Sus scrofa: one gene and its partner. The protein of the gene in region 1 interacts with the protein of each later gene in a biochemical or structural test. Links are inferred from orthologs where the notes say so. Each region holds a gene or a part of one and is shown in the gene's direction. Other genes may lie near its edges.

Region 1 (3,805 bases):
TGATCAATGAACTGATTGAATAGTTGGTCGATTCATTTCCTCAGCAGCTTCCTGAGCCCGACTCTGCCCAGCTCCGAGCCATGAGTCAGAACCCACGCCCCAAGGAGGAGGCGGGCAGCAGGGGGGCAGTGGGTGTGCAGCCTGGCTGGGAGCAGCCCCCAGGGAGTCAGGCACTTCCTTGGAACAGTCTAGTCACTTATGATGACAGCTCACGGGCCAAAGGCCCCGCTGGCACCACCATGCTCTGAGCAGAGACCAGACAAGATTCTGGAGCCAGCAGTACTTTGGGGACTTGAACTCCTGGGGACCCAGCCTGCAGGACCCCTCTGCCCGCTTCCTCCTCCAGAATGGCCAATGTAGGTTTGGGTTTGTTTGCTTTGCTTTGCCCTCTGGGGGTCTCAATCAGGATGGAGGGTTTCCCCTGGGGAGTCAGGGTGTGGGGCTGGGAGGGAAGAGCCGGGCGTCCACTGCAGGGCTGGGCTCTGTCAGCATCTCCCTGCTCTGTTTCCCCCCCGCCCCCACCCCGAGCCATCGTGGAGTCACAGCAGGTGCCCTGCAGTCCTTCCCTACTCTGGGCCCCTGTTTCCCCAGGGACTGCAGGGCACTGGGCAAGGTGCTTCCCGGCTGGTGGTCTGTGGAGTCCGGCCCTGACTGCTGGTGTTCAGCTCAGGGCCAGGGCAGGAGGCCGAGTCTCCAGATCCGTTTTCCTCCCTGGCTGCTATGGGCTTTTGTCCTGGGGGTCCGGAGGGAGGGCCAAGGGGCAGGAAGTTGTGGTCTGCTGGCTGGTTAGTAGGCAAGTGGCCCACGAAAGCCACCGAGACAGAAGCCTGGCCCAGCTTCACCAGCTTGGACATGGGAGTGGACAGGCCTGCAGGGGCTAGGGGGATGAGTGCCTCGTGCTGGGGCCCTGAGCAGCGAGCCGAGGCCCCGGCCTGCTGCTTGTCACCCTGAGCCATGGGTAATTCCTGGGTGTTAGGAATTTCTGGGGCTGCTTACAGAGGAGGGTGTGAGCTTGGTGGCCTAAGTGCGCTGCAGGCCTGGAGATTCAACTTTTCTGAGTTTGCTGAAGGCGGGCTGGGCCCAGCATGGAGCCAGTTGGGGCAGTTTGTGGCATCTCTGCCCTTCTTTACCTCTGATTCTTCTTAGACCTTGAAGAACAACACCTTCTCTTCCCAGAACCCCTTTCTAATGCCTCTTCCTGCGGGAAGCTCTCCTTGATTTAGACTCCTCCCTGCCTCTCCCCCCAACGCCCACTACTGAGACTGTGAGGGGAGGCTTAGGGCAGCGAAAGGAGCATCAACGACCCTTGACTCTGAGAAGGGTCAGACCTGCCTTCCCCAAGTGTGTGTGGCCTTGAGAAAAAGCCCCGCCGATTCGCTAAGCTCTGAAAATGGGGCTGTGATCTGTGTGGTCAGGGAAGTGGGGGCTCCTTTCCCCAGTCTCTGAAGTTTCAGGGGTCTGTGGGGAGGGACAGGCAGACTAGGTGCTGAATCTCTCTAGGCTGCCCCCAATTTGCATTTGCCTGGCAGTGTGGGGGCGGGGTTTTCCTTCCTGGAGACTGGATGGGAGCCAGGCTGAGAGGCACACAGCCCTGCTCTCAGCTCCACTCTCCCCACCTCTCTGCTTGCTTCTCCCCCAAAGTGCCTGGGGTGAGCCAGGAGGGGGCTGCCTGGCCCCAGGACCCACTCCCTAGACTAGGACGGTCCTAGGAGACACTCTGTCCCCTCATAGTCCTCAAGTAGTACCTCCTGCCCACCAACCTCCTGCGCCAGCAGCTCAGAATCCATTCCGGGGGTGAAGAGAAGAGAGTCCAATGATCAGGAGGAACAGGATGGGCTGAGCGGTCTGAGCCGTCCAGGCGGCAGAGAGGCGGCTGTGTCCCGAGAAATCCCCAGGATGCCCCCTCCCCCCATCCTGGCTAGGAGGTGGACCTAGAGTGTCCTGGGTGTGTCCTAAGTGCGTGTTAGGTGTGCCCTGGTCCTGACCCTCAGTGCACACCTCTCCAGGTGGGTACAGGAGGATCACCTGAGCCCACAGAGTGAGGCTGAGGTGGCGTCTGCCACATGGTGGTGGATCAGGAACAGCAATTGCTGTTGTCTCCACAGAGGCTGTATAGTGTCAAGGAAAGGGCGTAGACCTGAGCCAGACAGCCTGGGTTCAGTGCCAGGCCTGCCACGTTCAAGCTGTGTCACCCCCGGTACACGTCACCCAGCTGCGCCTCAGTTTTCTCACCTGGACACCTGAGTAATTGGGTAATTGAGAAGGTGACAGGAGGGAGCAGTGCCAGGCACCCCATAAGGCTGTCATCACGGGGCCTCTGTGGGGGCCTTTCCCATGGCCGTCCTAGGTTAGGGTTGCTCTGTCCTGGCCTGTGAGCGCTGATCCACGCGGGGCCCACTGACACCTGGTACCTCCACAGACAGGGGCCCCTACTGTGTGCTGTGTGAAACTAGGTCCTGAACCCCAAGAGCTTGCTCTTGAATGGGGGAGATAGACCAGTTTTCCCAAGGCTGGAGAGAGGGGTCCTCGCCAAGCTGTACTCAGTGTCCCCAACCTGCGCAGCCCTGCTGTGACCCTCACGTCCCTCTGTCCTGCATTCCAGTGCAGGGACTTCACGGCCCACACAGGCTACGAGGTGCTGCTGCAGCGGCTGCTGGATGGCAGGAAGATGTGCAAGGACGTGGAGGAGCTGCTGAGGCAGAGGTGAGCCCTGGGCGGGGAGGGATGTGGCCGAGCCCGCAACCCAGAAGCTATCTGTGTCAGGAGTGTGACTGTCCTGTTCGTCCCAACCTGGGCCTCCCTGACATGGGCATGTGTTCTGATGTTCCTTCAGATCTGCCTGTGTTTGGCCAACACTCATCTAGAGAAGGGCTGGGGGCTTAACCTTCCCAAGGAGGAGCCCACAGGGCCAGCCAGCCCCCAGAGGCTGAGCAGGTGGACGCTCAGGTCCCCTGCAGCCAGCTGTCTTGAGTCAGGATGGCAGAAGTGGAGGAGACACAGCACTTGTGCTGTCCTTGCAGGGCCCAGGCGGAGGAGCGGTACGGCAAGGAGCTGGTGCAGATCGCCCGGAAGGCAGGTGGCCAGACGGAGATCAAGTAAGAGCCCTTCTGCTTTGCCAGGCACTTTCTGGGCTTTTGGACGGGGTTTAGGGCTTCTGGGCATGAGGTGGACGGGGCTTGGTGGGTGGCAGGGGGAGTGCGCAGCCAGAGGAGGGGTGCCTGGAGGATCACCCTTTGGGAATCGGGCCCTGTGGGTGGGTGGGGGGAAGACAAGCCAGCAGTCTGAGCGGCAAGGAGGCCCTGGGCAGGGGGCGGAGGTCATCTGTCCTCAGGTGCCTGCAGCACAGCCTGCTCAGCCTGGGCGGCCTCCATCCGAGCCCTGAGAGCCTTGAATGGCAGTGTTGGGCTCCTTGGGCTTCCAGGAGGGAGGTGTGGCCTGAGATGGGGCGGGGGCAACTCCTCACCCATATTAAATGTGTGACCCTGACGGTGACCTTGACAGTGACACTCTGCGCCTCTACTTCCTCATCCTCAAGCAGGATGATAATACAACTGTCCTCAGAGGGTTATTTGGGTCCAGGGCTCCGCTCAGGCCTGGCTCAGTGGGGAGGCAGTGAGGGCAGTGCCTCTGTGAAGCAGCTGAGCTTCTCTGGCCCCTGGCTGCAGACAGCGAGGGAGGATGCTGAAGGGGAGACGGTGATGGTTCGAGGGCGGCTAAGGAGAACTTTCTAACAGTGGAGTGAAAGGGCTGCCGTGGGAGGTGTGGACGCTCCTTGCCGGGTGAGGACTGAGCCGAGGGGCAGACA
Region 2 (4,558 bases), on another chromosome or scaffold:
GAGGTAGACATGCAGCCAGAAAGATAGATACCCAATGCTGGAAGCACAGCAGGTGGATTGAAAGTCTTAGCCACTTCTATTCACAGGCCACTTAGGCAGAAGGATCCCCCAAAAGGCTTGCAGACAGACACATAGCCACCTGGTAAGACAGATTTCCAGGTAGAGTCCTAGGGCGAGACAAACAGACCACAGCAGGACAGCCAGGCAGATTCTTGGACAGGCATCCAGAAAGACCTGTGTCCCTCCCACCCCACTTCCAGCCAGCCAACAGACAATCACTCAAGAACAAACAGAGGGCCCTGCCACTGGACAAAGATGTTACTCAGTGGAGAGACACCCCACTATGCAGTCAACTAGCTAGCCAGACCTTCAGCTTGACAGACTTAAGCTCTGCCAGGAAGACAGACCCAGCCTACAAGAAAGTCAAGCCCTCTGGACAGACAGATGCCCCCCCAAGCCAGGGAGAGAGTAGTCATAATATATCCCATCCTGTTGGGCAGACCCTTAGCTGGAAGTGGAACACAAGATACCCAGCTGGCCAGAACCCTTTTGCTGGGTCAACCACCCTGCCTCCCTGTCACCACCATAGATGATATGGTGGCTCACTGACTCAGTGTTGCCTCTGATCCCCAGATATCACCGGTTTCCAGTGACCATTGCCATCCAATGACATCCACCATGAGCAGGGTCCATAAAGGCCTTTTGTGCTCCCACGGTGGCTCTCCCCCACCCCTTTACTCTGGTATCCACTACCCCCAAGTGACTGCCATTAGTGTCCATGAGGACTCAAAGATTTGGGTCTCTGGCTTCTCCAGTGAGCCTCAAAGTCTGCTGGTATTTCCATGTCTTGCAACCCTGTGTCTCCAGCAGCCATCCAAGAAATCTCTGATCCCACTGACATTCACTATCAGCCCTGAATAGGAGTCCTCGATGACCTTCCCTGACTCTTTTGACACCTCAATTACTTTAACATTCCAAGTCCCAGTGGTTACTTTCAGACTCTGACCTCCCAGTGACCGCTGCTGACATCTATGGATAGTCTGTGTGAATACCTTCAATGAGTTCACTATCAATGTCCATCCTTGGTGATCACTACTGACCCCCTTTGAACTCTCACAGGTGATGGTGATAAACAGTCAACAGTGATTTCTACTAATCGCTCAATGAGAGAAACACTGACCTGCTTTCACCTCAGTCACTTAAACTGGGATCAGAAAACCACAGCCTGCAGACCACCAAAACTTTTGTGACAAAATTTCAGTGCCCACGAAGTTTGCAATACAATCACACTCATTCCTTTACATATGCCTTTACATATTTCACAAGGCATGGCAGAGTTGAGTAGCTGGGACAAGGACAAGGTTTCTTAAAGAACCCAAGCCCTTTAAGAAACAGTTTGCCTGTCCCTGACTTAAACAGCACGCTAATGAACTTTATCCACACCCCTTACCCTTGAGGTGAGGGGTGGATGAGCCCATCTACACTGGCGGGTCCTTGGGAAGGGGGCAGGCTCCTCTCTGCCCTCTCCAGCCTCTCTTAGGGGCTGTATACTAGCTTTCACATTTTTAAAGACCAGAGTGTAGTGCAAATAAAGCTGCTGAAACTGTTCCTGTTGTGGCTCAGCGGCTTGCAAACGGTCTAGTATCCACTAGGATGCATGTTTGATCCCTGGCCTCAGTGGGTTAAGGATCTGGCATTGCAGAGAGCTGTGGTATATAGGTCGCAGACGCAGCTGGGATCTGGATCTCGTTGCTGTGGCTTGGCCTAGGTCGGCAGCCACAGCTTCCATTCCACCCCTGGCCTGGGAACTTCTATATACCGCAGGTGCGGCCATTAAAAAAGCAAAAACAAACCAACAAAAGACACAAACAACTCTTTTAAAAGCGTGGAGAACACCTAGTCCCCTGAACCCACTTCCAGGCCTCGGTACTCATTTTCCAATAAGGTTTATGTGAGTTGAGATCCTCAAATTTGGACTGGATTTTGGCGTCCTCAACTCTTCTTTGCACAACTCAGAAAAAGAAGCAATCTTAAGAAATACAAGGATTCAGCCCCACAGCCCAGGTGCCCGGGTGTCATTTTCCCCTGCGGCTACCTCCCCCGACCTCTCTCGGACCCCGCCGGAGTGCACAACGCGGGACGGTCCCCACGCGGGGTCCGCCAGGCACAAGTTGCAGCTCAAACTAGGCGACCAGCTCCACCCACAGCTGCCGCACCACCCCTTCTCGGATCTGGACAAAACCTAGCTCCCAGGACACCAGGCCGGGTGAAGGTTCGCTGTCATGCATGCCCCGGCGCGGACTCCCGGGTCCGAGGAAGGAGGTGTCCCTGGGATCGTGCGGACTCAGCCAAGCCCGCGCGGTGGCCACAAAAAACGGAAGCGCCGGGGCAGGACAAGTTTTTGGCCCAGCAGCGGGTCCTGGAGCCTGTGGGCGGGGGCGGGGACAGGCTCTGAGGGTCTTTGGCTTAGGGGCGTGTCCTGCCCGTCGCTGCGCACTTCCATTAGCTGGCGAGATTGGAGGCGGGGCCTCGGCATCCTCCCACGGAGTCTACACTAGCTAGGAGCGCGGAGCGCTGCAGCTGGACGGGACCTTGCTGGCCGGCGGCGCCATGAGCCACAGCCTGGACGCGGTGCGGAGCTTCCTGGAGCAGCTGGAGGCGCGGGGCGGCCGGGAGGGGGCGGTCCTCGCCGGCGAGTTCAGCGTGAGTGGGCGAGTGTGGACGGCGGCGCGGGCTTGCCCTGGACGATCTGGACGTTTGTTCTTCTGTGCGCTCTGCTGCGCTTTGCCTCTGTTTCTGGCGTGCAGGGGCGTCTCCTCGCCTCCAGGTCTTTTTCTCTCCCCAGCACCTCTCTCTGTCGCAATCTCTCCCTGTCTTCACCGTCTGGTCCGCAGAGCCCCGGAGGGCGAAGTCCACTGCTGGGCTGGGCGGGGCCGCACACGCCCTCGGGTCCTGGAGCCCTCGCTTCGCTCCCGGAACCATCCCGTTGTTGGGCAGGCTGGGCGGGGGAGGGCGGGCGTGCACCTGTGCTGGACGCGCGACACCCGGCCGCTCCTGATGACCCGGAGGTCACTCCTGTGGTCCTGGGGAAGAAGGGGCTAGGGGAAGAGGAACCAAGAGGCCCCGCTGCGGCAAGGGTGTGGTCACCAGCTCAGATAGGCGCTGTGGCCCCGGGGGGTTTTACCTACCCCCTCTGGCCTCGGTTTCTCCTTGGGTGAGTAGCGGACGTTGATGACTAAACTGACCTGAGGATTAAAATAACCAGTGTGGGTAAAAAGCGCTAAGCACATCCTGAGAGCTCACTTCACAGACGACTTTGTCACTAATGGTAATATTCGAAACTTGACAATGGAGTAATGCAAGCTATACGCATGGAGTGGTGATGCAGTAGCGTCATGGGCATCACATACTACACGTGCTAAGATGTTTTAAATATAACATAGAAACGTGCTGTGCAAATATGTAAACACAATATATGGTGACATATCTCAAATTTAAAAATAAGTTTAACAAATATATGTGTATAAGCATTAATAAATGACTAGATAATCATTAAGTACAATAAAAATTGCTAACAGAATCAAATTAATGAAATTAATACATATAACATCTATAGTGAATCTGTATAAATATGATCATACATTATAATTTTCATAGCATTAAAGTTCATAAGGAGTCCCCATCGTGGCGCAGGGGTTAATGAATGCGACCAGGAACCATGAGGTTGCAGGTTCGATCCCTGGCCTTGCTCAGTGGGTTAAAGATCTGGTGTTGCTGTGAGCTGTGGTGTAGGTCACAGACTCGGCTCAGATCCAGTGTTGCTGTGGCTGTGGCATAGGCAGGCAGCTACAGTGCCAATTAGATCCCTAGCCAGGGAATCTCCATATGCTGCTGGAGCAGCCCTAGAAAAGGCAAACAAACAAACAAAAAGTTCATAAAACAATAGAATAAACAAATACAACATGGAATTTACAAAATAAGCAGTTATTCAAATTCCTAAGTATGTGACAAATAGATAAAAGAAATATACAGATATAAAAATAGATGTTGTATATAACAAATGTGTAATAAACAAAACATGTAATTTATTCAGTATGAAAATGTACATAGTAAATATAAACACATAATACCCAGGTGGTACATGTCATCATGCCCATCTGGGTCTGGGTCCAGTCTGGGACAGTGAGCAGTGCTGAAGACCCCTGTGCAGAAGGCTAGGTGGTGAACAGTGCCAGTTGCTGGAGGCCACCCTCCTGCCAGCAGTCTCCTGCACTCACAGGAATCTTTGGGTCTCCCTAGGCTTTGGTTTTTTCATTTCTACCGATAGTAGAAATATCGGTAGTGGTACCCACTGCACTAGTGTGTCCATGGGATTTAAATGACCTGATGGGTGTAAGTACACTGGGCTTGCACCCAGTGGTGGCTTTGTAGGTGTTCCTTATTATCATGATTATAAATACCTGATGATGATGGTAATACAATTCACTAATTATAAAGATCTAACAGTAGTAAAACAGCTACAGTGTCTAGTTTCACAAGTCATTCATGTACATTGTAT

The links.
Region 2: the proteins of PSTPIP1 (region 1) and PTPN18 form a complex in vitro, tested with the Homo sapiens proteins (2 studies listed by BioGRID and IntAct). The link is inferred for Sus scrofa from reciprocal best matches to the Homo sapiens genes PSTPIP1 and PTPN18.

Annotation. Positions count from the first base shown.
Region 1 is NC_010449.5:57,123,255-57,127,059, forward strand, and holds part of PSTPIP1 (proline-serine-threonine phosphatase-interacting protein 1), read left to right. Parts: intron 1-179; exon of another isoform or gene 180-347; coding exon of another isoform or gene 348-356; intron 357-2,602; coding exon 2,603-2,703; intron 2,704-3,020; coding exon 3,021-3,095; intron 3,096-3,805. UniProt on the Homo sapiens protein: Involved in regulation of the actin cytoskeleton. May regulate WAS actin-bundling activity. Bridges the interaction between ABL1 and PTPN18 leading to ABL1 dephosphorylation.
Region 2 is NC_010457.5:31,963,719-31,968,276, reverse strand, and holds the start of PTPN18 (tyrosine-protein phosphatase non-receptor type 18), read left to right. Parts: upstream 1-1,705; 5' UTR 1,706-2,610; coding exon 2,611-2,703; intron 2,704-4,558. UniProt on the Homo sapiens protein: Differentially dephosphorylate autophosphorylated tyrosine kinases which are known to be overexpressed in tumor tissues.